Ovis aries: one gene and its partners. The protein of the gene in region 1 purifies or fractionates together with the protein of each later gene. This does not show direct contact. Links are inferred from orthologs where the notes say so. Each region holds a gene or a part of one and is shown in the gene's direction. Other genes may lie near its edges.

Region 1 (4,279 bases):
AATTTCTCTCTTTTTTTTTGACGTCCTTTCTCAAGTGTTTACTAAGCATAGTAGAAAAGCTTTTGTATACACAAATATATACATAAATAGTATGTATAATATAATATATACATATTTTATAAAACTTGTGAATTTTTGCCTAAATAAAATATTTGACATTTTGATTCCACTTGTTTAACTTAGCCTTAATAGAATTCTAGACTTCTAATTTATATTCACTTAAAATTCTGAAATACTTCCATGTATTTTGGCATCTAGAAAAAAAGTCTTAAAAGTTTATTATCTTAGTGATAAAAAAAATTTGAATTAGGCTTGACACTTCTAATTCAATTCTGAATATATAAAGAAATATGCTGCAAAAAAAACAAGAAAATTAGCGTGTAATATAGTATTACTAACTAAAGTATAGATTTTGTCCAAATCTCAAAAATACAAAAAAAATTATGGAAATTCAAAATATAAAAAAATTAAAACATTAATTTTCTTTTTTGTGTCTTTACCTGAATGGTCATATTTTCTGTAATGCATTGGAAATACATTTTGTGTGTGTGTGTTAGGACATTTTAGTAAAGGTTATCATTGAAAAAAAAGTCATGGGACTGGATGGGAGTGACTGATAAATTCATTCATTCAAATATTTATTAAGCCCTTGTTATGTGCTAAGCAGTGTTCTAGGCACTACAGCAATGAACAATGGACAAAGAAAAATTCATATCCTTTGAACTCACATTCTAATGCGGAGGGATAATAACACACATACAGTATGTTAGCAATCAGTGTTAAGGAGAAAGGTGTTAATAAAACAGGGATGGGTGGGAAGGTTTCAGTTTTAGAAAAGGACGGCCAGGAAAGCCCTCAGTGGGAAAACGTTACTTGAACTTAATTCATGAAGGTGAGGCTGTCAGCCGTGCACATACATGGACGACTAGCATTCTAGGCAGAGGCAACAGCAAAGGTGCTGTGCAGAAGCAGGTCGAGTAAGTTCACGGAAAAGCAGGGACTGTGGCTGTAGACAAGAGATGAAAGTGAAAGTCGCTCAGTGGTGTCTGACTCTGCGACCCCATGGGCTGATACAGTCCATGGAATTCTCCAGGCCAGAATATCGGAGTCAGTAGCCCATCCCTTCTCCAGGGGATCTTCCCGACCCAGGAATCAAACAGGGGTCTCCTGCATTACAGGCAGATTCTTTACCAGCTGAACTACCACGAAAGTCCTGTAGACAAGAGAGCCGGGATAAAGTGCTGGGAGATGAGGACCGAAAGTTAACGGGCTGGGACGCGGGGGAATGGGTGGTGAAGGTGAAAAGGAGCAGCTCTAAGTACCGACTGAAGCCGGGAAGCAGTCCAACAAAGAGGATCCGAAGATAGCACCGCCCAAAGTTCCGCCCTGCCCTAAGCTCATAACTCAGCGCCTCGGCCGGAACTCAAGGCCCAACTCCGGGACCGGAAGCAGCTTGCTACCCGACCCCATTTTCCCTGCGGTTACATTTCCGGTAGCGGCGGCGGGAAGCGAGTTACTCGCGGGCTTCTAGGCCTCCACGAAGACGAATCCGGCGGGAATCTGAGCCATCAGAACCGCCACCATGGTGAGGAGGCGCAGACCAGCAGCACGGGAGCTCCTGAGCCTCTTGTGGGGTGGGGATCGCGATTAACCAGGAAGGAGGTCATGGGTTGGCCGCTCAGGGGGTGAAGGCCCGGGCCGCGGCGCCTCCGTCTGCGTAGGAAAGACTCACACCGTCGTCCCTCGGTGGACTGGGCGAGGGGGTCCGGGGTGGGGGGTGGGGTAGAAGGCTGGAAATAAGGGACCGAGGCCAGAAGTCGCTTGGTACGCGCGAGGTTAGGGCTGGGTCTCTCCAAGCCGCTGTGGGATCCCACAGGCGCTGAGTAAACTTTGCGGCATGTATGTGTGTAGGGGGCTTCTGAGCAAGCACTAGCGCCGTAGAAGGACTGAGTAAGACCGAGTGAGAGGCTCAGACTTGTGAAGGGTGAGGGTCCGAGGAGTTGCGGAAAGACGTGGAAGGACTTGTGGCCGGAAACAGTGTTGATTCTGGTAGATGGGGAGGAGGGAACGGAGGATGAGTGAGGGAGGAAAAGTTTAACTCTTTTGTTCAGCATTTATGCTTGAGTACGCCTGACTTTTCAGGCCCTGGGGCTACACAATGAAGTGTTTCCTTTCTTCACTGCGTTCACTCTTATTTGGAGACACGGGTAACATAATTCGGAGTGGTAATTCAGCGTTAAGTAAAAGTAACGGCGGGGAGCGAGATAAGAATGTTTTCTAGACTCGGTGATCCCTGTCAGAGTCCTAAGACTCGGGCGAAAATGGGAAAGAATGGTATAGATCCGAAGGACTGCAAGAACAAAGCGTGAAGGGTAGCATTGTTGAAGATTCTTAGAGGGGAAAGGGAAGAATGTTGGTGGGAGGAAATGGCGGGAATCTGGTTATTAAAGGCTTTACATGCTATTTAATTTTGTTAGTGGTAAGGGATGCCATTGAAGGATTTTTAACAAGCAAAAGGACACGTACTTATTTGTGTTCAGAAAGATAACTGTTAGGTAGCTGTTATATATCGGGTGAACCGGAAGCAGGGTGTAGTTTAGAGAGTTGGTTAGAAAAGTAGGCACTGGATTCAGGCTCACTAGCTTTCAGCACAGCTTGACCTCTTACAGCCATGTGACCTCATCTGTAAAGTCTGATTTTAAGGATTAAATGAGATAAGTAGTGCTTGTGGCAGTGCCTGCCAGTCAGCGCCCAGTGCGAATTAGCTGTAGAAGACAAATGGAGCTGTAAATGTTACTGTAAAGGTTCAGACACGAGTGGTTAGAAGCTGTGGTTACAGTTTGGTTAAAATGGTCATGTAAAAGAAACTGCACCGCATAACTTGAGTCTCCAGGGTAACAGGAGTCAAGATTCTGATCCATGCATTTGTACGTTCAGAAAACCTGTGTTTGTTCAACCTCACAGAGATGAATAGCAACCACAGTGCCTGGTACCTCAAAGGCTCTTGGATGAGTTAAGACTGGTCAAACTAATGGGAGGCTGATATAACAAATGTTTATTCATAGAGATGTAACTGCCAAGGGCACTTGACAGTCCTCTTGTGAGGTCTGTATACTCTATTTTAGCACAACTACATTTGAAGCCAGGCTGTGAAGGAGAAAAGGTTGTTGGGTTAAGGAGTATAGCAGCTTGTATATTCTCATTATGTGTTCAAACTCATTAGCACTCTGGTTACTAGGAAGTTTTGACGTTGCTGAATATAGTCTTGGAGGCACACTAACAAATCACTGATTCGGTGGTTCCATTCTCCTCTTCTAAGCTGTTCATCTCCTTTCTGATAACAGGCTCTTCATTGATTGGGTTCTTAGTGCCAGTCCCATTCCAGCTCTTTTACTCGGTGTTTTTTTTTTTTTTTTTTTTTTTTACCTCAGTCTTTTTAATGGGATGGTGGTGTTCCACAGCACTGGAGTCACCTGTAATCTGCACAGTGGTAGATGGCCACTGATCTCTAATATGCATGGGGTTCAGTAGTTTGGAGCCATCTTACCCTCTCACTTCTGAAACATAATACAACATTGAATCCAGTTCAGTCCCTCAGTTGTGTCCAACTCTTTGTGACCCCATGGACTGCAGCACACCAGGCCTCCCTGTCCATCACCAACTCCTGGAGTTTACTCAAACTCATGTCCATTGAGTTGGTGATGCCATGCAACCATTTCATCCTCTGTCGTCCCCTCCTCCCACCTTTAATCTTTCCCAGCATCAGGGTCTTTTCAAATGAGTCAGTTCTTCGCATCAGGTGGCCAAAGTATTGGAGTTTCAGCTGCAGCATCAGTCCTTCCAATGAATATTCAGGACTGATTTCCTTTAGGATGGACTGGTTGGATCTCCTTGCAGTCCAAGGGACTCTCAAGAGTCTTCTCCGACTCCACAGTACAAAAGCATCAGTTCTTCTGTGCTCAGCTTTCTTTATAGTCCAACTCTCACATCCATATATGACTACAGCATAGACAAAGATATGCAACATAGACAAAGGCAATTGTTATATGAAAAAGATGATTTTACGAGAAGGGACAATAACAGGTCAGGTTTGAAAACAGGTGAGAGAATTCCTAGGAAATGGCTGTGGTTGAAAGATAGAACTGAGAATACTGAGAAGGACAAACAGAAAATAAGGCTGCAGCAGAAGTTTTAAGGAAAGGCAGCAGTTTTGTGGGTCCAAAAGAGCTGAGTCTCATTCCTGCTGATTTCTCCTTGCAGACGGTGGGCAAGAGCAGCA
Region 2 (3,500 bases), on another chromosome or scaffold:
CCACTATATGTATGTACCACATACTATTTACCTGTTAATGGACACCTGGATTCTTTCCACCTTTTGGCTGTTGAGAGTAATGCAGCATTGGACGCTGGTGTGCAAATATCTGTTTTAGTCTTTGTTTTAAATTCTTTTGGGTATGTACCCTGTTCTTAAAGACATAGAAAACCCTAGTCAGTAAGCAGAGATCTCAAACTGTAGATGCCGACTCAATATTAAAGTGATTTATGAGCATTATGTTGATGGCAGACATCTTCAGAAGTACTTTTTAAATGCTTATTGGGTTTTTCCCCTTCCAGTTTTACAGAGATAAAATTGAAATACAGCGCTGTGTAAGTTTAAGGTATGCAGCATAGTGATTTGACTTACACACATCATGAAATGGTTATCACAGTTAATCTCATTTGGTTCATGTATAACATATGGAAGTGTTAATTATATTTATAATGTACATCAGAGAAAACATTTTACCTGAAATCTTTGCCTCTCCCTAGTTACTTGTATCAAATCGCGCATCTTGGAGATGACGACGAGGAACCTGAGTTTTCATCTGCCATGCCTCTAGAAGAAGGAGACACGTTCTTCTTTCAGCCAAGACCACTGAAAAACCTTGTGTTGGTTGATGAGTTGGACAGCCTCTCTCCCATTTTGTTTTGCCAGGTGAGGATCTTTCAAGTCACTACATAATGAGCAGTGCTAACCAACTATTTTTTAATATGAATGAGTTTAAAGTTTTAATTCAAATTAACCTCATAGTCTAAAGAGGTTCAGCAGCATATCTGTGGACCCGCCGGGGTATAAGGGTAAAATAGCTGAAGGCAGTTGGGGGGTTAAAAAGCGTTACATAAATCCTTGGGCTTAAAGTGGTTAAGACTCTACATTTCTACTGCAGGGGGCACAAGTTCCATCTCTGTTCAGGGAACCAAGATCCCACGTGCTGTGTGACCAAAACAAAGAACTGATAAAAGCTTTTTTTGTTTGTAAAACTTGCTGCTTCAAACTGCTTGCTTTTCGGGACATTGGGTCTTTTTTTCACTCCATGTGCCCAGGGCCCGTAGTAATATTTAAGCCTAATAAACTAAAAAAGTGGTTTGTCCCCATGAGAATAATCAAGTTTGTGTGTGGGAAAGTAGCACAAGTAGGCATTTCTCCCCCTTTTCTTTGTGCAGATAGCTGATCTGGCCAATGAAGACACTCCCCAGCTCTATGTGGCCTGTGGTAGGGGACCGCGGTCATCTCTGAGAGTCTTAAGGCATGGACTTGAGGTAAGATTGAAATTTCTAGATCATATGCAGGGTTTGGAGGCAAGTGCTAGCAAAGCAGCCTAAGGCTTTATTCTGATGATATCAAAGATGTATTCAGTGTTTATGTGAAACAAAAATGTTTTTCTCTTCACCTGTTTCCATAAAGTTTACAGTTTAAATTTCCTAATCTTTAACATGTCAACACAATAGGCACTTTAAAAATTTGGCAAATGGATATCAAAGGGGAAAAATACCTGTTAATTCCAGGTTCACTTGCCACAATGTGTAGGTTGAGAAGTCTGACTTGCGTGGCACATTTTATTGCACCTCATTTTAGTCTTGATCTTTCTGCATAGTTTTTAGATACTTACATTTTAAACTATGTTAAATACAGTATATATATGTATTTATATCTTACTAAGTTTATTTCTTATTACTATGTGCTTTTAAGTCGTACAATTTTTAATGTTTTTGCAGTGTAGCTTCACAGTGGGTGGATCAGAATTTATTTAATGAATCCTTTATTGTTGGACATTTTAGGTGAAATGGACACTCAAAATTATCTTCTCAAATCCCATATCCTTTTCTCATCATGGTTCTTGTGTTGATGCATTTTAGCAAGCCCTGGGCTTGATTTTGTTAGGAATAAAATAAATCTTCCTATGGCAGTTACTTTTAGCAGTTGGGGTTGGCAAACTCCAGGCTCTTAGAGGCCCACTGCCTGTTTTTTGTAAATTTTTATTGGAACACAGGCAAGGTGACCTTTGTTTTGAATTTTGGCTCTACTTAATTGTTACTAAGCTGTTGTTTCCTCTTCTGTAAAATGGGCTTAATAGCATCTGCCTTAAGGATTGCTGTATGAATTAAATGAGAATGCAGATGAAGTACTTGGTCAAGTTCTGGCTTATAGTAACTGTTCAATAAACGTTAGCTATCAATATTGCTGTCTCAGGGGACTTAAAAAGTTTTGACTGCCTGAATATTCATCAAGTCACCAAAATTTCAGTGACTTGAACCTAATTTAGACCAATAGTTCTTGATAAGTTACTTGCTCCTCATTGGATCCCAGTGATCATCTGGTGAAAGTAAGCACTCAAACACAAAAAAATGTACACATGCGTTAACACTGTGTGCATGGTGTTGGGAGAGAAAGAGCCTGATGGAGAATCGTTGGTTTTGAGTCCTCTGCTGCCTCCTAATTTTTTCTAATTCTATTTTTTAAAATCTGTTATGCAAAAAATATTTTTTTAATTGCTGGACATTGCTTTCTTCCTGTGTATGTTTGTTGAATCTTGTTCAGCTAGATTATGGTCTCAGTTGAGCAGAGTCACTGTCAGATAGTGTAGCGTACATGACATTGAGATTTTATTGATTGTGAAGTTTCCCAAGATTCTCCTGTACCATGATCAGGTACTCTTGCTACCATTACCTGGATAAACCAACAAAAGGATAAAATAAAATGCCTTTCATATGTATTCTTGAGTCCTTCCTGTAAAATGTAGCTCACTGTTCAATTGCACAATATGATAGGCTGTCTTGCTTTTTATCTCTAGGTCATTTTAAAATATTTAATAAAATTTTTATCTTAGGTGGTCTTAGATTTACAGAAAAATTGCAAGGATATTATAGACAGTTAATGTTTAGTCCACACCTTGTTTTCTCCTCTGGATCATTTTGAGTTTATCTTACATATTTTATTTATTCTCATTTGAAAGTCTATATGACATTCAGAGGAGTCTTGACTGTGACATTAAGGGGCATAAAAATCAAGTAGGAAGGACAAAACAGTTCCTCAGATTACTTTCAGATAAGTGTCCTAAGCGGTGATGATTGTGATTCCTGAGAACTTACAGGAGGGAGAGATGACTGCCAGCTCAGAAAATAGGGAAGATTTTTTTCCTAAAGGATGTGGTATTTGAATTGTTTGGTGAAGAGATGTGGAATTTCGCCTTAAGGGAGCAAAGGAAAGGAAAGGATGCTAATTGAGATGGACTGTTTCATTCCCACATGCTTGCTTTTTGTGGAGGATGCAGGCATGTTATCCTCAAAAGGAAGCATTTGGCCTTGGCTGCAGCAGCTATCCTAGATGTCCCATCACTGCTTGCTGAAGGCAGTGTTGGGAATCGACAGTACCTCTAGCCGTTTGGTTCTTAATCTTCTGTTTGACTAGCTGGTTCCAGTGTTTTAATCCAGTGTACACTGTGAGCACTGCTATATTATGGGGACTGTATTATCTAGTGTGATTGTAAACAA
Region 3 (3,939 bases), on another chromosome or scaffold:
ATTTCCTTCCCATCTCACCTCTAGCAGCAGGCAACCACTCACCTACTTTCTGTCTCTGTAGATTTGCCATCTGGACGTCCACTAATGTGTGTGTGTGTGTGTGTGTTGTTGTTTTTTTCTGCGTGTCTGCTTTCTTTCACATAACATGATGCTTTCATGGTTCATCCATATTGTAACACTCCTTTATTGCTGAATAATGTTCCATTGTATGGATACACCATATTTGGTTTGTATATTTACCAGTTAATGACTGGGGGTAGCAGCTTTGTTGATAATGAATAGTGCTGCTATGCATGTCTGCACATATGGACATAGGTTTTCATTTCTCCAGCTAGATGTGGGCATATAGACTTGTTTCGGTTTTTTTTTTTCCAGTTATATAATATTTTACTGCTTGAATGCACTATATTTTATTTAACCAGTCCCTTGGGTTTCCCAGGTGGCACTAGTGGTAAAGAACCTGTCTGCTAATGCAGGAGACATAAGAGATGTGGGTTTGTTCCCTGGATGGGGAAGATCCCCTGGAGGAGGGGATGGAGACCCACTCCAGTATTCTTGCCTGAAGAACCTCTTGGACAGAGGACCCTGGCGGGTTATGGTCCATAGGGTCGCAAGGAATCGAACATGATTGAAGCGACTTAGCACGCACGCAGCACTGCTGATAGACAATTAGGTTGTTTCCACATAACAAAAGAGAGGAAGGGAAGGAGAAAGAAAAGAATAAATGAAAGGAAAAAAACCCGCGATCATTCCCATTTTACTGAGGGAAAAACGTTGTCACAGGTCACACTGAGCTGGAGACTCAAGTTCCGGTTCATCAGCTCCCATACGTGCGCGTCAGCTACTCAGTCCAGGTCCCTACCAGCACGGCCGCACAGCTAGGGAAGTCCCCGCCGGCCAGGTCAGATTCCTTAACGCCAGGCTGATGGATTTCTGTGTGCCCCCTAGAGGCACCTGCAAATCGTTCGGTATCGCGCCACACACCTCCGGCCAGCAGGGGGCACTGCAGCAGTCTCCATAGCACGGACTGGGTCTTTAGCGGTGCTCACTTTTCCTCGAGTCCCCGAGGAACTTCCGGCAACCGCGGAACTTTGGTGCCTCCGGACTCGTAACTTGCGGACGCGGGCGCGCAAGGCGGCAGGGGTTGTTTCCGGTCGTGTTGGTGGACTGGCTTGAGCTGGGGCGGCAGCGACTGCGGCGGCGGGGGAGGAGAAGGAGGAGGGAAGATGGAAACGATTCTGGAGCAGCAGCGGCGCTATCATGAGGAGAAGGAACGGCTTATGGATGTCATGGCCAAAGAGATGCTCACTAAGAAGTCCACGGTGAGTGGACCTAGGCAGGGGCTACCGTAAGGCCGGGCCCCCGGCCCGGGTTTAACCTCAGAGTTTTTTTCAGCCCTCAGACCCGCCCCGCCCCGAGCCCTTCGGGGGATTCCCTCCCCGAGCTCAGGCCTAGGTAACCTTTCCCCGGGGCCCAGCGCCCAGAGGCCTCTCTGCTTGGGCTGCTAAGACCCGAGCAGGTAAGCTCCGCCCTCGGGCGGCCTTCCCAACTCCAGAATTCCGACTAACGGCGTATATGTCACCGTTTGCCTTTTTTCAGCTCCGGGACCAGATCAATTCTGACCACCGCACGCGGGCCATGCAAGATGTGAGTGTCCCGCTGTCCGCTTCTCTTTGGGCACGGTAGACTGGAAGAGGAGGGAGGGGGTGCGGGAAAAAGGTAGCCGATTGGCCAGTCGAGGAGTTTGTATGCCTGCCGAATGTACGCGCCGAAAGCAACCCTGAGGATGTTTAACCACCCTTACTCCCTTCTCCGAATGGAGTACTCTTACTCATTTTTAATTACTAGAGAAGATCCCCTTTACAGCATCCTGTGTCCCATGGATGTGCAAAGAGTAGTTATGAGGTGTCAATGCCTCAGGCTTAGAAGGTACTCTCCTTCTCCCCCATAGAAAAAAAAATAAAGACCCTAATCAGAGTTTCTGAATTAGGATAGATAAATATTACTAGCCCCTAATCCCTTATTTAGATTCCCAAATCCAAAGTATTCTGAAAACAAAAGATGTTTTAATTTGTTTTGGAAATTATTTGGTGGCAAAAATCTGACTTGATCTGATCAGATGAGAGGTTTTTTATGGTCTTTATCCCATTCAATAAATAACATAACTTTCACTGCAGAACTAATTAATGTGTTTTCCAGATCCCACTAGGGATATTTCATGTAGTACCTTCCTGAATTCCAAATTCAGAAGCAAATCTGGTTCCAAAAGTTTTGGAGAATGGGCTATGTACTTGTGCCATCCTGAATTTGAATCCAGAGGAAGCTGTGTGGTGTTTTACTTAGCCTGAGCATTCCTTAGTCAAGCCTTTTGAAATAGTGGAAGTCAACTTGGACTACCCTTTTATCTTTGAGAGTCTTTGATGGGAACTGCTGTTTTCCAAAGGGTGACTCTCACATGGCTCTCTTTTACAATACAATACTTCTACTGTTGTTTAGTTGTTAAGTCATGTCCGACTCTTGCAACCCAATGGACTGTAGCTTATCAGGCTCCTCTGTCCATGGGATTTCCCAGTCAAGAATGCTAGAGTGGATTACCTTTTCCTTCTCCCGACCCAGGGATCCAACCCACGTCTTGTGCATTGGCAGGCAGATTCTTTACCACTGACCCATCAGGGAAGCCCATGACTCTTCTAGGGAAAGTTAAATATGGGAACTCTGCCACCCCTCAAAACACATTTCTTAGGTAATCTTCAGAGTGACCTGTTTTAAAAATTAGCTAGGAGCCAGTGTTGTCTGTTAAGGGTACCAGAAAGCATAAGAACTTTTAACACCACATGTCTTGAAGTTTTCCTGAGATTTGACTAGAGAGCCCTTGTTGGTTGCTTGGGTCTCAGTTGTACGGGCGGATTGCTTCATTCTAATGGATTTGTGTTTGCCTTTCAGAGGTATATGGAAGTCAGTGGGAATCTGAGGGATTTGTATGACGACAAGGATGGGTAAGTCACAGTCACATTCAGTCCAGCAATTACTGCTTTTGAGGGGCCATGGTTAAAGGACTGACTTTGTGCTCCATGTTTTCTGGATTTTTTTCTGAAATTGCAGCTTACGAAAAGAGGAGCTCAATGCCATTTCAGGACCCAATGAGTTTGCTGAATTCTATAATAGACTCAAACAAATAAAGGAATTCCACCGGAAGCACCCAAATGAGGTATGACCTTGCAAAGTTTTTTCTCCAGTCCTGTCCAAAGAGTATACAAAGGACATGTGTTAGGAAAATGGAGATGGTCATTCAGATGTCCTTTCAAAAAGGAACTTACCAGTTAGCAATAAGCAGCGTAGTTAGGTGACATCCTGCAACTGCGAGTTCTTTCAGAATTTCCCTCAGCTTTAAGCTAAAGCCATTCTCTTCTAGGGCTTCCCAGGTGGCTCTCATGGTAAAGAAGCTGCCTGCTAATTCCCTGGTGGTTCAGTGGTAAAGACTGCCTGCACTGCAGCAGTTGCAGGTCCAGTCCTTGGGTCTGGAAGATCCCCTGGAGGAGGACATGTCAACCCACTCCAGTATTCTTGCTTGGGAAATCCCATGGACAGAGGAGCTCGGCGGGCTGCAGTCCATAGGGTCGTAAAGAGAGTTGGGCACGACTGAAGCGACAGAGCACACATATTCCTGGGCAGCCCCTAACCAGCGACTGAACACAGTGTGGGGGAGGGGTATCACAGCCTGGTTATTTCTGCCCACTGTGAGACTTTCAGTGAGATTTTCTCATATCTACATCATGGTCTAGGCTCTCTCTGCTCCATCCCTCCATCCTGCTCGCTCTCTCCTTTCTTTTTTTTTTTTGGTGGCCACACCTCATAGTTCATGAGTTCTTAGTTCCCCAAACAAGGATCAGAACCGTGTCCCCTGCATTGGAAGCATGGAGTCTTAACCACTGGACCACC
Region 4 (4,177 bases), about 1.4 Mb from region 1:
CCGGGGTGGAGAACACGCAGCTAAAAAAAACACCGAAAGGACTGTGGGGGTGGGGGATGGCGCTGACACGGAGCCACACTCACCGTCTTCCCGGCGTTGTCCAGACCCAGGATCAGGACGCAGTACTCGTCCTTCTGGAACATGTACTTGTATAGGCCCGACAGCAGCGTGTACATCCTGCCCTGGGCACCCGAGATCGGTCACGGACGAGACGGCCCGCACCGTGGACAGAGGGTCCCGCTGCCCGCACGGCCGCTCACAGCTGGAGCCCAGGGCCCTCCTGGCTCTGCCTCCCCTCCCTTCCCCTCCGCCCGCCTTCGCCTCCGCAACTGCTACAGAATCGCCCCGGCGCTCCAGGTGCCCACACGCCCTCTCCGGCCCGGCCAGGGCGCTCTGTTCGCAGGCAGAGGGCAGCCTGCCCCGCCCCGCTTCTCGCTGCTCCCCCGCCCGGGCTCCCTTCAGGCTTTGCTCCCCTCGGGTCTCCTTAACCAACGCCCCCTTCGCTCGCGGCCCGCCGCGAACGCCTCTCAGAGGCGGGGCGTCTGAGGGCTGGTGACTGCCCAGAGCAGTCGTGAGGCGGGCGGGCGGCGCGGACAGACTGCGGACCGGTCGCCGAGCCTGGGCCCAGCTCCACCCACCCGCCTCGATGTACCTGCGACCGTCCGGCCGGACCGCCGAGCCGCAGAGCAGGGGAACCGCCTTGCGCCTGACCCACCGACCCGGCGCTAAACCCGCGCGGCGCCTGACGGGACAGGCGCCGGTCGGCCGAGGAGGGGGCGGAGCCTTCCCGGCAGCCCCCGCGCCAGACACTTCCGCCGGCGGCGGTGCTCGGGCGGAAGCGCCTGTGGGCTGCAAGGGCGGAAGTGGGGCGCCGGACGGCTTTGGCCGGTGAGGCCGGCTGGCCGTCTGTGGCGGCGGCCGGGAAACCGCTCGGAGGAGGGCCTGGCCGGGGCGAGGGGGTCTGGGCAACGGGGCCTTGGCCCGAGGTTGCTGGCCGAGCGGAGACGGGCGGCGCGAGGCCGCAGAGGTGGGCCCGGCGGGGGACACAAGACTTGGACGCATAGACCCCGGAAGAGCTTGAAGGCAGCTCCCGGGAAGGGAATCGAGGCCGTGGGGCTAGTGGCCAAGGGCCAGCTTTGGCTCCTCCTCTCGGAGCTTGAAATATCTCCACGTCCAAACGAAGAGACTGCTGTTCACGGTTCCGCAGGCTGACCACCGAGGGTTGCAGTCGGCCAACGCTCAGTGTCGGCGTTGTGGGGGCCGTCTGTCCCAGACTCATCTGGCTTCTCTTCTCCGCAGCTCTGGCTCCCACGCCTCCCCTCTGAGGACCCAGGGACCCAGCCCCGCAGGCGCGGGAAATCGGCCCCTCCCGCCAGGATGGACGAGGAGAGCCTGCAGACCGCCCTCCGGACCTACGACGCGCAGCTGCAGCAGGTGGAGCTGGCCCTGGGCGCTGGCCTGGATCCCTCGGAACTGGCCGACCTGCGCCAGCTGCAGGGAGACCTGAAGGAGCTGATCGAGCTCACTGAGGCCAGCCTGGTGTCTATCAGGAAGAGCAAGCTGCTGGCGGCGCTGGATGGAGAGCGCCCAGTCCAGGAGGATGCTGAGCCTTTGGCTTTCCAAAATGCCATCGTGGAGACGGCGGAGGTGCCAGTAGCCCCCGGGGCAGAACTGGAGACTGTTCCTTCGAGAGAGACTGGGCCAGGACCCACGGAGCCTGGGCAGGAGGAGGACGACGGGGAGGACGAGGAGGGCGGGGCAGCACTGAGTGGAAGAAAGGTGAACGCCCCCTACTACAGTGCCTGGGGCACCCTGGAGTATCACAACGCCATGGTAGTGGGCACCGAGGAGGCGGACGACGGCTCCCCGGGCGTGCGCGTACTCTATCTCTACCCCACTCACAAGTCCCTGAAGCCCTGCCCGTTCTTCCTGGAGGGGAAGTGCCGCTTCCAGGAAAACTGCAGGTAAGGCTTGAGTTCTCTAGGCCACTAGCAGGGGGCGGGGGGGGGGGGGGGGGGGGGGGGGGGAGAGGGCCGCGGGGACTTGCGGACAGAACCTTTGCAGTTCTTTGCAGTTTTGTTTTTCTTGGCCGAGCAAAATGCTGAGAAGAAGAGAACTTTATAGAGGCAGGGGGTTCTTCTAGCAGTATCCTTCATTAGGGGGTCTTCTTGACTTTTCCCCAGGTATGTCAGGAGTACAGAAGGGTTTATGTTGAAAAGAATGGAGCCCTCCCCCCCCCCCCCCCCCGCCGCCTTTCCGTGACCTGTCCTATGCTTCAAAGTGAAACTTCTAAAATTTACTTATATTTTAGATATTTTATTAGAGAAGTGGTCAAACACCCAGGTAACTAGGGAGAGTAGCATAGAGACTGCTCACATGTCATGGTAGGTCAATGTTTTGCTGCTCTTGTATTCTCTGTTCCTGCCCCTGGAGTATTTTAAAGCAGGTTGTAGGACTTACTGGGCATTTTGCCTGTAAGTACTTCAGGATGCCGGCTTAACCTAAGTGACAAGGATGTTAAGTTAAAAATTACCTCCGTGTCACTCTCACACCTCACCAACTTAACAGCAAGACCTTGTTCGTATTTAATCACGAATGTAATGATGTTGTGTTTTCCTTATGTACATTATGTTTAATTTTGCTTCTTTTTCCTTTCCAAGGAATATTTCCTGAGATTTCTAGTAGATGATTTTCTTCTTTAATCAGTAGTCCAGGGTAACTATTCAATATCTTCAGTTGTTTGGTTATCTTATTTCTTTACAGATTTTTGCTGGGCCCAGAGTCTTATTTGGTGCGGTTCCCCTTTTTTTCCTTTTTCCTCATGAGTTTTGTGAAAAGTGTAGTGTACATACAGGAAAGTGCATGAATCAGTCATAAGCCTCCTTGAGCTTCCACAGGGTGGGTGCTGCCTTGTCCCCCAGCAGAGAGTTAAGGATCAGAGCAGGGAGCCCTCCATCCTTCCTGCCATGGTCCCTCTGGAGGGTTCCTCCCCGTCCCTGTGCCACGTCCATGTGGGGATGAGAACTGACGTATTCATGTGCTGCTTCCTCTGGGCAGCACTGTTCCAGGGGTTTCACGTGTATTCACTCACCTGGCAGCAAGCCTGCCAGGTAGGCCCTACAGCTGCTGTGGTTGCTGGACCCCCGAGGGGCAGTCCGGCTCTGAAATGCTGCTGCCTGCTGTCAGCTTCAGGCCTGACCCATGCAGCCCACCCACCCCACCACCACCCAGGTGTAACAGTTATTTTGTTGCTTTTACTTTGGATTTTTAGTTTAAAAATTTACTTATTTAAAATTTTATTGTAAAGATAAAGTAGTGTTGAAGCACCCTGGGACCTGCTTTCTATCCTCCCCTCCTGGGAGGCTTGCCACAACTATGATGAGCATCTCTCTAGCGTGTGAATCCTTTACAGGCACGTGTGTCTGTGAACAGAATATTCTTGTGCTTTATTTTCTAATTAAACTATGTTGTACAGCCTGCTTTGTTTTGCAACTTGCTCTTCTCACTGAGCGTGTCTGGGAGAGAAGTTTACATAGATATTTATAGGACTGTTTTGTGCATTTTAACTACTATTATTTTTCCTCATTCATATGCCACAGTTTATTTTGTCTCCTGGTGTTTACCAGTTTTTATTTACTAAAAAGAACACACTGAAAATCCTAGTACACATCTTTTGTCTCTGTTGGGAATGTCCCCAGTGTGGATGGCATGAGCATTTTCTTTCCTTGCGCGCTGTCTGCTTCTAAGCCCCTGGTCTGCTCTGTCGTGGTCACCCTAGTCACTCTTGGTCACGTTCTCTAACTTGGGGATTCGTACCTACTGAAGTGAAGAGGTGGTCTTGATTGAACTTGTATTTCCTCGATTATTAGGAAGATTGCATATTTTTTCATACGTTGTTCTAACTTTATCGCTCTGTGTTTCAGTATCCTTTTCCATAAAAAGGAGAGGAGCATGTCTTTTGCAGTTGTTGAGAGGCTGGAATGCATTAATATGCATAAAAAAACAGTACCTAACATGGAATAAGGACACAGTGGACTTAAAATTTTTATCTTGTTGTGAGAAAGGTCAAATCCAGAAAGTAAAGACAGCACAAGGGATCACTGTAACACTCAAGTACTCAGCTGAAAACTACAAAGCTGCCGGTTACTCTGGGGTCCTCTGTGCCTCAGCCCAAACA
Region 5 (4,235 bases), on another chromosome or scaffold:
TAAGTATCCAGCACAGAGTTGGGCAGTAGAAGATAACTTAGTTAAGAGCAGTCGCAGCTCTACCCCTTGGTCTGATTGCTAGTTCCAGTCTGTGAGTGGAGAGCCCTCCAGTGTTCACTGGGCGAATTACACCTAACTGATCTCGGACAACTTTTTCCTTCCCTTTTCTGAGGTCCAAGAGGGCAGATAAAGGCTTCAGAGTTCTAAGAGCAGAAGGATGCCTCTCCTGGGGTTACTGTTGGACTTTGTGCAGTGAGGTTCCGAGTTTTAGGTTATTTGGGCTTACTCCAGGCTCTACTTCAGCAGCACTGAACACATTCAGAGCGAAAAACCAGACCAAGAGCCGTGTGGGATTGAAACCCAAAAGCTTGTGATGGTAAAAAAGGAAAGGAAGGAGACGTTAGTTACTTCCTGGTCCGTGGTGCTGCAAAGAGTCGGACACGATTGAAGCGACTTAGCATGAACGCATCTATCTAAACCATCCTAGAAGTTGTCAAGATTTTTGTTTTGGGGAGGAAGGGAGGTAGAATTATTAACCACAAGACCAAAGAGAAACAAAATGAAAGTACAGTTTTTTTGGGGAAAAAGCTCATTGGAGGACTGAAGAGAGAGAAAGAAAAAGTATTAAGGTAACCCAAACAACTGGCCAGATTCCAAAGAGCGAGAAAGTGAAAAGGGCAGGTCCTATCTGGGATGTTTAGAAAACCAGGTGTCACAGCCCGGAAGATACTATCTTTCCAAGAGGTGCAATCCACTGTGTGAGCTCATTTCAAAATGTTCAAAATGTTGTAACAGTAACTACGGTGTTACCGCGGGGGCCAGGGTTGTTAATATGTTCTCCCAAAGCTGGGATAGTCTCACACAATGAACTGTCCCACCCTCACTGGTAAATACTAGGCTGCTCCTGTAACTTAAATTTTCATTTGTCCACCTGTAAATAATCTATCTCAAAGATTTTTTTTTAAACCCACTTTTCCACAAATGGTAAAGTATTTATTGCTGTTAGTACAGTTGCTAGTTGTAACTACGTGCTATTGATATATAAGTTCAGTTCAGTCGCTCAGTCGTATTCGACTATTTGCGACCCCATGAATTGCAGCACGCCAGGCGAGTTCATATGTAAGGAAAGCCTTAAATTACTCCGTTGTAAGCCACGGGCCATGATGTCGTTAACTACAGTTTTCAGTAAAACCAGCATATTCCAGGAGGGCTGCGCCCGCAGAGAGAAAAACCTTCTGATGAAAGTCCACCTATGAACAACTCTTCCTCCCACAGACTCAAATGTTTGGCGAACCACATTGCCCAGCGGCCCCCGCGTCCCGGGACCGGCGCTCGCGCCGTGCATTCGGGGATTGGTAGTTCTCGGCCCCGCGTTGTTGGCCTCCGCTGCCCGGGACCAGGAACTCGCCTTCCCGGCTTGCCGCGCGGCCGAGGGAGCAGCCCGGCGACCAGGAAACGGGAAAGATGGCGACTACTCGGCGACGTTGAGGCCGCGTTGGGCGGTTTGGGCTCAAGAGTGGTGAGTCTCGGGCGATGGAAGCGGTTTCCACGAGCCTGCAGAGAAGGCGAGAATGAGGGCACAGCGGTCGACCCTGTCTCTGGGACGAGGAGAGGAAGAACGCCATAGGGAAAGGGCACGAGCTTGGAAAGACCTATCCGGCAGGAGCGAAGGGGCGCGGGCCCCAGTGGGAGTGTTGGCTCCGGCGGGGATAGGGCAGGTCCCTGGACGATGTTACGGGTCAGACCTTTGCCCATGCGCACAGCACCCGTGATATCCTCAGTCCGATCTTATTCTTTCATGTTTGGAGTAGCCCTTGCTCCAGCCAAACTGAAACTCTGGCTTTTCTCCCATAACTAGTCATGCTTTCCCGCCTCTGCGCCTCCTGTATTATTTCTTTTGCCGGGAATGACTTATTTCCGGAACCCTCAATTACACATCTTCAAATTCTACCTATATTTTAATACTCAAGAGCCATTTCCTCTACACTCTTTCCAGATTTCCTTTTTCAAGTGAAAGGAAACTTCTTTGAAGTCGTGCAGCAATTCATCTGAGCCTGCATCTTGGTATGTGTCTTATATCCTCTATTGTTTTGTAAGCTTCCTGTGGACAGGATCTTGCTGATTTCCTTTTGTAACTCACACTGTGCCTAGCACTGTGCCTTGCATATGGTGGTTGTTTGATAAATGCATACTTCATTGAATGAAATGAAGTTCCTTCAATGAAGTTCCTCAGTGCTGTCCTGCAAGCACTGAGGAACTCAAAGATCCGGAGGTTTGTGATGAGTAGAACCTACAATAAAAGTTGCCTGTGTTTACTGTCTGCTTATTTGCACTTCTCATTTTTTTCTAAACTCATTGCACTCAGGCTTTTACCCCCACCATGCCATTAAAACAGCTCTTGTCATCTCTGTTTTTACAAAGGTGAGGGTGAGTCCTTTATCTTCCAGTCTTTCTCCACTTGACACAGATCAGCATTCCCTCCTTGAAACACATTTTTGGCTTCTGTGATGGCATACTTTACTATCTTTTCTTGTTTTTCACTGGCTATTGTTTCTTTCCAGTTTTCTTCTCTGGCTTCTATGCCTGACTTCTAAACGTTACAGTGTTTCAGAGCTCAATCCTGGGTCCTGTTTTTAGAACAAATATTTATGACTGAGTTGGGTCTTAGTTGCAGTTCCGGTAGTGAGGGGGTGGCGGCGCTGTGGTGTAGGTTTTCTCCTGCCAGCGCTTGGGCTCTCTAGTTGGGGCAGGTGGGCTTAGTTGCTTTGCAGCATGTGAGATCTTACTTTCTTGACCAGGGATCCAACCTGTGTGCCCTGCATTGAAAGGTGGGTTCTTAACCACTGGGCTACCAGGGAAGTCCCTGGGTCCTCCTCTGTTTTCTTCCTAACTAGAATGCCTACTTAGATAATAATCATTTAGTGTCCTATGGTTTTAAAAGCCGTCTGTATATTGATAACTCACATTACTGTTTCCAACTCTCTCCTAAGTTCCAGAATTGCATTTTCAGCTGCCTTCCTGGAATCGCCACTTGGTTTTCTTACTGACATCTTACATTCACCGGGATCAAAATGAAACATTAAATTTCTTCCTCCATCTTCTCCTTCCCCAGTCTTCTGCAGTCACTAATGGTGCTGTGAGCCATTTAAGTTGGTCAGGCCATATAGGAGTTTGAGTGTCTCCTGTTTGCTTCCTCCCTTCATCAGTAAGTCCTGTTAGCTCTGTCTTCAGAATCTGCCTTGAGGCTCTCTTCTTTCCGTCTCCACTCTCACTTTCCTAGAACAAAACATTGTTACCTTTTTAAAAATATTTATTTATTTATTTGGCTGTACCGGGTCTTAGTTGGACACAAGGAATTGTTTAGTTGTGGCATACAAACTCTTAGTTGTGGCATGTGGAATCTAGCTCCCCGACCAAGGATCAGGCCTGGGCCCCTTGCATTGGGAGTGCAGTCTTGGCCACTGAACCACCAGAGAGGTCCCCACTGTTATCTTCTGTCTGGATTACCATAATAGCATTCTCAGTGGTTCCGTGTCCATTTTTGCCTTTTGCAAGTCACCGAAGTGATTCTTTAAAAATGTAAAATAAGACCATATTACTTCTGGTTTAACACCTTTTTAAGTTTCCCACTGCAGTTAAACTAAAAGCCAAGTTCTTCTAGCCTGCCCTAAAACACGTTTCCGTGATCTGACTCCTGCCTACCTCCTTGAACGCATCTTGAGCCAGTTTTCCTCTTGGTCACTGCCACTCCTGACCACATGAGTATTTTTTTTTTGGCAGTGCTGCATAGCTTGCAGGATATTAGTTTCCTGACCAAGGATTGAACCTGGCCCTGGCATTGTGAGGGCCTAACTATTGGACCACCAGGGAATTCCACACGTGCCTATTTTTAGTTAGCAAACATGCTAAGCTAGCTCTTGCCTCAGTGTCTTGCTGTTCCTTCTACACAATAAATTCTTTTCCTTGATTTTTATGGACTCTCTATTTCTCATCATTCAAGTCTCAGCTTACATGTCATTTAAAAAATTCTTTCCAGAGCCCTCTTGTTCATGCTGCTCCCCATCACACACCCTGCTTTGTTCTCTCATTAGCACTTACACTGTTTGAAATTCTCTTATTTTCTGCCTAACTGCTGTCTGCTTCACTGGAATTTAAGCAGTATGAGTTCAGAGGCTTTGTTTTGCTTACTGCTGTATCTCCAGTACTGGAACAGTTTCTGGCGCCTCTCAGGTACT
Region 6 (3,500 bases), on another chromosome or scaffold:
GAAACTCTGGCAAGTTCAGACAACTTTGCTTCTACTCAGCCCACTCATTCATGGAAAGTAGGAGACAAGTGTATGGCAATCTGGAGTGAAGATGGACAGTAAGTGTAGAAAAAAACTGTAACTTAACATGAACTAGTAAAGTACAATGGTAAGGTGATTTTTATTCAGCTTGAACTACTCTATTTTAGTCTTTATATGGCTGATATGACTTAAACAACCGATTTGATTCTTGGGTGGTTACCATTCCTATAGTTTAGTTTTTAGCTTTAGAGTAAGTTTTAGGGCAGAAGAATGGCTTAGATGCTAGAGGAAATAGACATGAAATAGAGGAAAGTGAATGGATTTTCTTTATTTTAATACAGTCTATAAGTGCTTTTCTCTTTGGGTTGCAAGTTGAGTAATGGTTGGCTCTCTTAGACTTCCATGATGCACATATACTGAAATGATTCATATAAGAAGTATGTTTTCTCACAGAAATGACTAAAACACATTTAGTAGATGTGTCAGAGACTTCTGGGCAATATTTTGGTTGGGACTTCCTTCCTTAAAAACCAGTGGCTAACTCTAGCTGCTCTTTTGTATTATCTTTGCCAAAGGGACGTTTGATTGTATGTTTCATTTTAGACACATTTAATAGTTGAATCACTGCAGTATAAGTCTTATAGGCTGAGTACTAAACCTTTACTCACCTGCTTACAGCCATGATATCTTTACAGGTGTTATGAAGCGGAGATTGAGGAGATAGATGAAGAAAACGGCACCGCTGCAATCACTTTTGCTGGCTATGGCAATGCTGAAGTGACTCCACTGTTGAACCTCAAGCCTGTAGAAGAAGGAAGGAAGGCAAAGGAGGACAGTGGCAACAAACCCATGTCAAAGTAAGTGACTTTGACTTTAGCATTTTAAATGTAATCTTCCCCATTTGGGTATTTGAGGTTGTCTGCAGAATCTGTGCAGGCTATACTAGGGTAAGAAAGTTATAATACTGTTTACAATTATTTTGAAGGTTAGCAGTGTATGGTTAACAGTGTCTGTTAATATGTATACCTAGGTAAAGTGAAGACATTTTGGGGTTCCTGCTTAGGCATTTAATACCTATTTATTAAGAGGATATCTTAAGATTAAAATTAAGAGTATATCTCACTAAACCAGGTTCTGGGTTCCACCACAGCAAAGAAGACCAAAATAGGCCTTGTCCTAACTGTGTTTACAATCTGAAGAATAGACACATAATTAAAGAAGAACTTTAATGTAGAAGTAATGGAGGGAACACAACAGATACTTTTAGAGAACAAAGAAAAGGTAACAAGCTGCATTTTTGTCATGAGGGCAAATTTCTTGGAGGAAATGACATGTAAACTGAGATTTGAAAAGGACAGATGTTGGCCAGTTAATGAACTAGAAGGTATGATCTTGAGCAAGCTGCTTACCTTCTGATTCCTCATCTATAAAACAGGGATAGTAGTATCTCCATTATGGGGTTGTAAGGATTCATTCATAGCTTGAGTAAAACATGTGGCACAGTTCTTGACACATAGGCTTTCCTGGTGGCTCAGTGATAAAGACCCACCTGCCAGTGCAGGAGATGTGGGTTTGATCCTTGGGTCAGGAAGATCCCCTGGAGAAGGAAATGGACACCCACTCCAGTATTCTTGGGGGAATTCCATGGACAAAGGAGCCTGGCGGGCTGTAGTTTGTGGGGTTGCAGAGAGTCAGACATGACTTAACAAGTTAAACAAGAAGTACATTAATGGGGGGGAACATAGAAGTAACAGAAAGAAATCCTTTGGTTAAAAACTTGGGGCTTGAGGGTGGGTAGCTTAACAAGAGAAAGAGGTTAGAAAGGTAGAGGCCAGATCATAAAGAGCTAGAAAGCCACTGATGCATTTCAAGTGGAGAGCATTTGATATGTTCATATTTGAACTTTTGAGTGATTACTGGCAGCAGAGAGAAGGCAGCTGCTGCTATCATCCAGGTATAAGATGATGGTGACCTGAACCAAGGGAGCAGCAGTAAGGATGGAGCCATGCATGGTTTGAGAGTTGTTTAGAAGATGGAATTAACAGTTTTCAGTTAACTTCTGCATATTTATCACAGTTTGCCATCTTTTGGTTTGTCTAGGTGTTTTCAGAACTTAATTTGCTACATAAATATATTTGAATTTGGGAAAATTATATCATCTATTAACAATAACATTTGATTTAAGCATTCCAATAAGAAAAATAGATTGTAGGACAACATGAGATTTCTACTTTTAGTCTTTGACATTGTGTAAAAACCATACTTCATGGAAGTGATTATATGATACAGAGAAGTCTGAATCATATTACCTCATTTTGAATACCTCTGTATTCATTCCTTTGGTGATAAGTCTTAACTTAGCAGGAATTACTGAGAGAACTTTCAGGCTCTGATTGGAAAACCCTAGTTGTTTTTGTTTTAAGAATTGCTAGCTGTGATTTCCCTTTGTGCTGCTGAGCTCTTCCAATCAAGATGAAATAATTTTATCTGCACTGAATCTTTGCATTTTCCAAATGCAGCATATCATACTTGCTAACTGCCCATTTAAAAATTGATAAAGGTTTAGTTAGCTTTTCATGTTGAAACTCATCTTTTCTTGAAACAAAACTTGTAAAAGCTATGTAAATGACAAATTAAAAGTCAGTTGAAATATTGGATTTAAATGGGTAATAGATTACTACAGTTGTGTTTAAAAGCTTCCAAGGATACTGTATATTCCAAATAACATTTATTTTTTACTAGTCCTGAGTGATTGGCATTGGTGTTAGAGCTGGCATTGTTAGTGCTTTTATTTGTGGAGGGAAAAGTGTGTAAACTTACTCGATTTTGGGGTTTCTTTGGCGGGAGAGTGGTTGCACTGAAGTCATCTTTTAGTTGAGGTCATTTTGAATTGACATTTACCTGTTTTGTCCACACAGAAAAGAAATGATTGCCCAGCAGCGTGAATATAAAAAGAAGAAAGCTTTGAAAAAGGCACAGAGAATAAAAGAACTTGAACAAGAAAGAGAGGACCAGAAGGTAAAATGGCAACAGTTCAACAACAGAGCCTATTCTAAAAACAAAAAAGGCCAGGTTAGTAAATTCTTTCATCATACGTACTTTGTAAATTTGCAGAGTGTGGCTGTCATTAAAATAACTTTAAAATGAAAAAGGAGGTTCAATGAGATTTAAAAAAATACAACTGGATCTTGAATTCAAGAATCCTCTTTAATCTTCTTTTTGACTTACTGAATATAAAATATCCCCATTAGCCACTGTCTCTGCAGTGGAAGCACTGTGAATGAATTTATATTAGGAATTTTAAAAGATCTAGGTTATTTTCTTTTACAAACTATAATTTGAAAACCTGTGTGCTATCTTACATACCACTTACTTACATTGGGTATCACTGGAAGATTTTTTGATCACTCAAGTTTTCTTGATGTACTTTTCCTTAAAGGTGTATTTTGAAATTTTAGTTTTTTCCAAAACCAATCAAG
Region 7 (4,296 bases), about 42 Mb from region 1:
AGTAATATTCCAGATTCAAAGAAAAGTCATTCTCAGTCTTCAGTACTTTAACTTGAGAAGTAACAAACTCCATGCACATCTTGACCTGTCGAACGTTCCTGTAAGGCATAGACAGCTTTCCAGTGTACTCTTTTCTGTCTTTTAGTGGAGAGGATCAGTGGTACAGATTTTTCCAAGTTCTGTTTCTCCCATATGAAAATCTATGGTTCTTCAAATAAACACAGTTGAATCTAACCTTGTCTCAGTTGCAAATCAGGGCCACAATTTATTTTCTGTTGGCACTCAGCATACTTGACAGATTTCCTTCAGCATGTGTTTAAAATTAGCTCATATTTGTGTAATGAAATTTGAAATATTAATGACAAGTGTAGATGAAAAATAACTTTTTAAAAAATAATTAAAACAGCGAATCCAGTATGCCAAAACAGATTCTGATATAATATCTAAAATGCGTGGCACTTTTGCTGACAAAGAAAAGAAAAAAGAAAAGAAGAAAGCCAAAACTGTGGAACAGACTGCAACAACTGTGAACAAAAAGCCTGGTCAGGTAAGATGGGCAAAAGTTCATATTTTGTTGTATATCAGACAGTTTTATTTGAATTTGCATCTATCCTCCTTCCTCCATCATTATCCAAAATATGTTAATATCTGTTGGCTTATTTTTCGAGTTCTGTGTATAAATAATACTATAGATTTTATCTTTATTTAGTATTCCACTGAAATTAGTCTTCTTTGAACAGTTCATAAATTCAAAAATCTAATTTAAAAATTCCAGATAAAGGTGAAATTATCATCCAAAAACTAGTTACTTTGGGATTGAAAGTAATTAGAAATCAGTTTTGATAAGTATAATGCTTGAGTTTTTTTTCTAGTTGTTTTAAAAAAAGAAAAGTGAGAAAGGCTGGTCCTTGGTTTTTCTCCTGTATATTTCTCCATAATTTTGAAACTTAGAGGTTGACTTTTATGATACAGACCTTTCAAAAATATTTGACAAGTTACAAATACATAAATGTTCGAGTCAGAGTTTTAAGATGTAAATTCTCAAAATAAAATGGAATAAAAAAATCTTATGTTAATCTTATTTTTAGTGCAGTAATTTTAAACACTTGCTACTTTTTCAGAGGGATTGGAAGTTTTAACTGTTTCTCACTCTTTTTCCTTTAGGGAACACCAAATTCAGCTAATACCCAAGGAAATGCAACACCAAATCCTCAGGTAATATTTTTTCCCATGTGATACTTACTTTAAAATAAAATTACAAAACAATAGCAGTAATGTACAACAAGCCTCATGTCTCCAAAAACTGAAAACGATTCCATCTGTAAGCCACAATAATGTGGAACCTCCTTCCTCAAAACATTTTCTTTAAGAAGAAGAAAACAAAACCTGACTTTATTCCTTGCTTCCCACAATGATCAATGACAGGATTAAGCAATATATTCTAAGTTCTATAAAGATAAGAAGCAGAATAGTTGTTTTCTTCACATGATGTGGCCCAGAGCTTTTCGGGCTTGTTGCTTGGAATCCATTCCCATTGGCTAAAGCACTAACCCATCTTTTCTCAAAGAGCGAAGTTGTTCTATGGTTACCTTTGTTCTTATTTCCTCAGTACATATATGTGTAAGTCTCCTGATACAGATCTTTACCCAGTGACTCCACGGTATAGAATCCGCCTGCAGTGCAGGAGCTGCAGGAGACGTGTGTTCTTACCAGGATTGGGAAGATCCCCTGGAGGAGGAAATGGCCAACCGCTCCAGTTTTCTTGCCTGGAGAATTCCATGGGCCGAGGACCCTGGCGGCTATAGTCCATGTGGTTGCAAAGAGTCAGACTCAACTGAAGCAACTTAGCACAATATAGACTTATCAGGAAACGCTACTAAATCTTCCCAATAAAGGCCTCAGAAATCTTGAGTTATACACTAATGGTTTCCCACTTGGTCCCTTAGGTGCTAGCGTCCGACAGGATCCTTACCTCCAGGGAATCCCTTGCACCACTGAGGTTTCCTCCTCTGACTTTAAGGTTCTCACATTGTCTACTGCTTAGAAGTCTCCCAGCAGCTGAGGTCCAGCACATAATTCTCTAAGCCCTCAGTTCTGTACATTTCATCTCTTTTCTCCCGAGAAATTCACTCTCGTTTACTTGGGAAACACATGAAAAGTCGCCAAATATAGGTTCTACATGGAAACTTTCTCTTTTTCTCTATCAATTTTTTTATTTTTGGCTACTTTGGGTCTTCGTTGCTATGCACAAACTTTCTCTAGTTGTGTGAGTGGGGGCTACACTCTAGCTGCGGTGTGCGGGCTTCTCATTGCAGTGGCTTCTCTTGTTGCAGAGCATGGGCTCCGTAGTTGTAGCACTAAGTGGAAATCTTTTTTTTTTTTTTTTTTAATTTTCTTACACACTGGGAGGTAGTATGCAGTAGGATTGAGTATCTGAGGGTTAAGCAGCTGAGGATGGGTGACACCAATGCCATCTCTGGTTTTGTTAAGACCAGTTATATAATCCAGATGACAAAAGCCTTCTATTCCAGCTGCCTCCAGATCCTTAAAACTTAAATATTATTTTAAAGACTGTTAATTAAATACTTAATATTTAAATACTTTAAAACTGTTGATAAGATTTATAATCTTCCAAATATTTCCTAAGTGACTTGAATGTCAGTCTTAATTACTGTTAGGTTTTGTTTACTTCTCTGATGTCACTGTTTTTCACCTTTAGAGCTTGATGTGGTAAGATTTCATAAGCCTTAAACTGTGGAATGTAATTATCTGAAATTTAGATTTAAATGTATGAGCCAAAGTGACTTAGTATGCTTTTTATACTTCTAAGTTAACTTGGCCTTTTCTTTTTAATAGGTTCCTGATTACCCTCCAAACTATATTTTATTCCTTAATAATCTACCAGAAGAGACTAATGAGATGATGCTCTCCATGCTGTTTAATCAGTAAGTGTTTTCATAAACAGTCTGTGTTCTGAGAGCCTCCTGACAGGATAGATAGCACTTCCCTGGGTTGAATCCGTTTGTATACCATACAATAATTCCTTACGGCTTCATTGATTTGCTCCAGAATTAATCTTGAATTGAAACCAGTATGCAGATTAAGCAAATAAGAAGCTGAATTACCTCTAACGTTTGAATTATTAATTCTAATTGATAAGTAAAGTAGAAGACAAAGCTTTGATGAAGTGACAGGAATAGAATTGGCTTACATGATTCCTGCCGTTCTTTTCATGGTATTAATTATATTTCAGGCTCTTTCATCCCACTCAGGATTCTTGGTGGGATGTGATCATTTTCCTGGACATACATCATGATGTTGCTTAACAAATTTAAATACAGAATAGACATTTTGTATTTGATGTCATTTCTATATTTGTATATATATAAATTGTTTACATATGTAAGCATTGTTTTCATTCATTATAGGTTCCCTGGTTTCAAGGAAGTACGTTTGGTACCTGGGAGGCATGACATCGCTTTTGTTGAATTTGAAAATGATGGACAGGCTGGAGCTGCTAGGGATGCTCTGCAAGGATTTAAGATCACACCGTCCCATGCCATGAAGATCACCTATGCCAAAAAATAACATTTGGGATAGCTGTCTTTAAAGGACTCACTGTTATTTATAGCTTTCGTTTTGATAGCATTTGATCAGTTCATTTTAATAGCTGGGAAAGGGGAAGTGTATGTGAGCTTTTTGTAAAGGATTTGAAAGGTTACGTAGTCTCTGTTTAGCCTTAGTGAACTGTGAAGGCCTTAATTTTGTACAATAAAATTTTTATTTGTATTCCTTACCTAGTATTTCATTTATTGACCCACTGCCCTATCATCAAATGCTGGTGCTAGGCTAGGACACATCTTAAGGTACATAAACTGTAATGGGATGCTTTTCTAGTGTCATCTTGGAGCAGCTAATGGTAGAGACACTTTAATAAAAGTAAAAGAATTAGATCAAGCACTTGATTAGATTTTCTGTGTTATTTTTTATGCATATGAACTGCCATCCTGGGACTTATTTTTGTGTTATTCATTCATGTATTTATTTATTTGGCTGCACTGAGTCTTAGTTGCAGCATGTGGGATCTTTGGTTGTGGCAGGTAGGATCTAGTTCCCTGAGAGTGAATCAAACGCAGGCCCTGCTGCTTCGGGAGCACAGAGTCTTACCCGCTGCGCCACCAGGGAAGTCCCTTTTTTACTCATACTTGTACCAATACTAATACTTAAACTTGTACTAATAATAGTAATGATCATCCTGCATATTAGAAGAAAATGAGACCTGGGCAGGATCTGAAT

What was found.
Region 2: the proteins of SNRPB (region 1) and SF3B3 purify together in Homo sapiens (affinity purification with mass spectrometry; 3 studies listed by BioGRID and IntAct, with this or other methods). This does not show direct contact. The link is inferred for Ovis aries from reciprocal best matches to the Homo sapiens genes SNRPB and SF3B3.
Region 3: the proteins of SNRPB (region 1) and SF3A3 purify together in Homo sapiens (affinity purification with mass spectrometry; 4 studies listed by BioGRID and IntAct, with this or other methods). This does not show direct contact. The link is inferred for Ovis aries from reciprocal best matches to the Homo sapiens genes SNRPB and SF3A3.
Region 4: the proteins of SNRPB (region 1) and ZGPAT purify together in Homo sapiens (affinity purification with mass spectrometry; 3 studies listed by BioGRID and IntAct, with this or other methods). This does not show direct contact. The link is inferred for Ovis aries from reciprocal best matches to the Homo sapiens genes SNRPB and ZGPAT.
Region 5: the proteins of SNRPB (region 1) and DDX23 purify together in Homo sapiens (co-immunoprecipitation; 3 studies listed by BioGRID and IntAct, with this or other methods). This does not show direct contact. The link is inferred for Ovis aries from reciprocal best matches to the Homo sapiens genes SNRPB and DDX23.
Region 6: the proteins of SNRPB (region 1) and SMNDC1 purify together in Homo sapiens (affinity purification with mass spectrometry; 3 studies listed by BioGRID and IntAct, with this or other methods). This does not show direct contact. The link is inferred for Ovis aries from reciprocal best matches to the Homo sapiens genes SNRPB and SMNDC1.
Region 7: the proteins of SNRPB (region 1) and SNRPB2 purify together in Homo sapiens (affinity purification with mass spectrometry; 3 studies listed by BioGRID and IntAct, with this or other methods). This does not show direct contact. The link is inferred for Ovis aries from reciprocal best matches to the Homo sapiens genes SNRPB and SNRPB2.

Annotation. Positions count from the first base shown.
Region 1 is NC_056066.1:52,392,153-52,396,431, forward strand, and holds the start of SNRPB (small nuclear ribonucleoprotein-associated proteins B and B'), read left to right. Parts: upstream 1-1,479; 5' UTR 1,480-1,582; coding exon 1,583-1,585; intron 1,586-4,260; coding exon 4,261-4,279. UniProt on the Homo sapiens protein: Plays a role in pre-mRNA splicing as a core component of the spliceosomal U1, U2, U4 and U5 small nuclear ribonucleoproteins (snRNPs), the building blocks of the spliceosome.
Region 2 is NC_056067.1:1,098,706-1,102,205, reverse strand, and holds part of SF3B3 (splicing factor 3B subunit 3), read left to right. Parts: intron 1-497; coding exon 498-663; intron 664-1,172; coding exon 1,173-1,268; intron 1,269-3,500. UniProt on the Homo sapiens protein: Component of the 17S U2 SnRNP complex of the spliceosome, a large ribonucleoprotein complex that removes introns from transcribed pre-mRNAs.
Region 3 is NC_056054.1:12,733,427-12,737,365, reverse strand, and holds the start of SF3A3 (splicing factor 3A subunit 3), read left to right. Parts: upstream 1-1,139; 5' UTR 1,140-1,226; coding exon 1,227-1,322; intron 1,323-1,599; coding exon 1,600-1,647; intron 1,648-2,943; coding exon 2,944-2,996; intron 2,997-3,102; coding exon 3,103-3,208; intron 3,209-3,939. UniProt on the Homo sapiens protein: Component of the 17S U2 SnRNP complex of the spliceosome, a large ribonucleoprotein complex that removes introns from transcribed pre-mRNAs.
Region 4 is NC_056066.1:53,744,868-53,749,044, reverse strand, and holds the start of ZGPAT (zinc finger CCCH-type with G patch domain-containing protein), read left to right. Parts: upstream 1-1,377; coding exon 1,378-1,964; intron 1,965-4,177. Other genes in the region: ARFRP1 (ADP-ribosylation factor-related protein 1), read right to left, coding at 84-176. UniProt on the Homo sapiens protein: Transcription repressor that specifically binds the 5'-GGAG[GA]A[GA]A-3' consensus sequence. Represses transcription by recruiting the chromatin multiprotein complex NuRD to target promoters.
Region 5 is NC_056056.1:137,338,863-137,343,097, forward strand, and holds the start of DDX23 (probable ATP-dependent RNA helicase DDX23), read left to right. Parts: upstream 1-1,435; 5' UTR 1,436-1,519; intron 1,520-1,996; 5' UTR 1,997-2,064; intron 2,065-4,235. UniProt on the Homo sapiens protein: Involved in pre-mRNA splicing and its phosphorylated form (by SRPK2) is required for spliceosomal B complex formation.
Region 6 is NC_056075.1:30,411,048-30,414,547, reverse strand, and holds part of SMNDC1 (survival of motor neuron-related-splicing factor 30), read left to right. Parts: coding exon 1-98; intron 99-716; coding exon 717-878; intron 879-2,939; coding exon 2,940-3,093; intron 3,094-3,500. UniProt on the Homo sapiens protein: Involved in spliceosome assembly.
Region 7 is NC_056066.1:10,398,374-10,402,669, forward strand, and holds the end of SNRPB2 (U2 small nuclear ribonucleoprotein B''), read left to right. Parts: intron 1-406; coding exon 407-547; intron 548-1,164; coding exon 1,165-1,215; intron 1,216-2,856; coding exon 2,857-2,945; intron 2,946-3,428; coding exon 3,429-3,588; 3' UTR 3,589-3,796; downstream 3,797-4,296. UniProt on the Homo sapiens protein: Involved in pre-mRNA splicing as component of the spliceosome. Associated with sn-RNP U2, where it contributes to the binding of stem loop IV of U2 snRNA.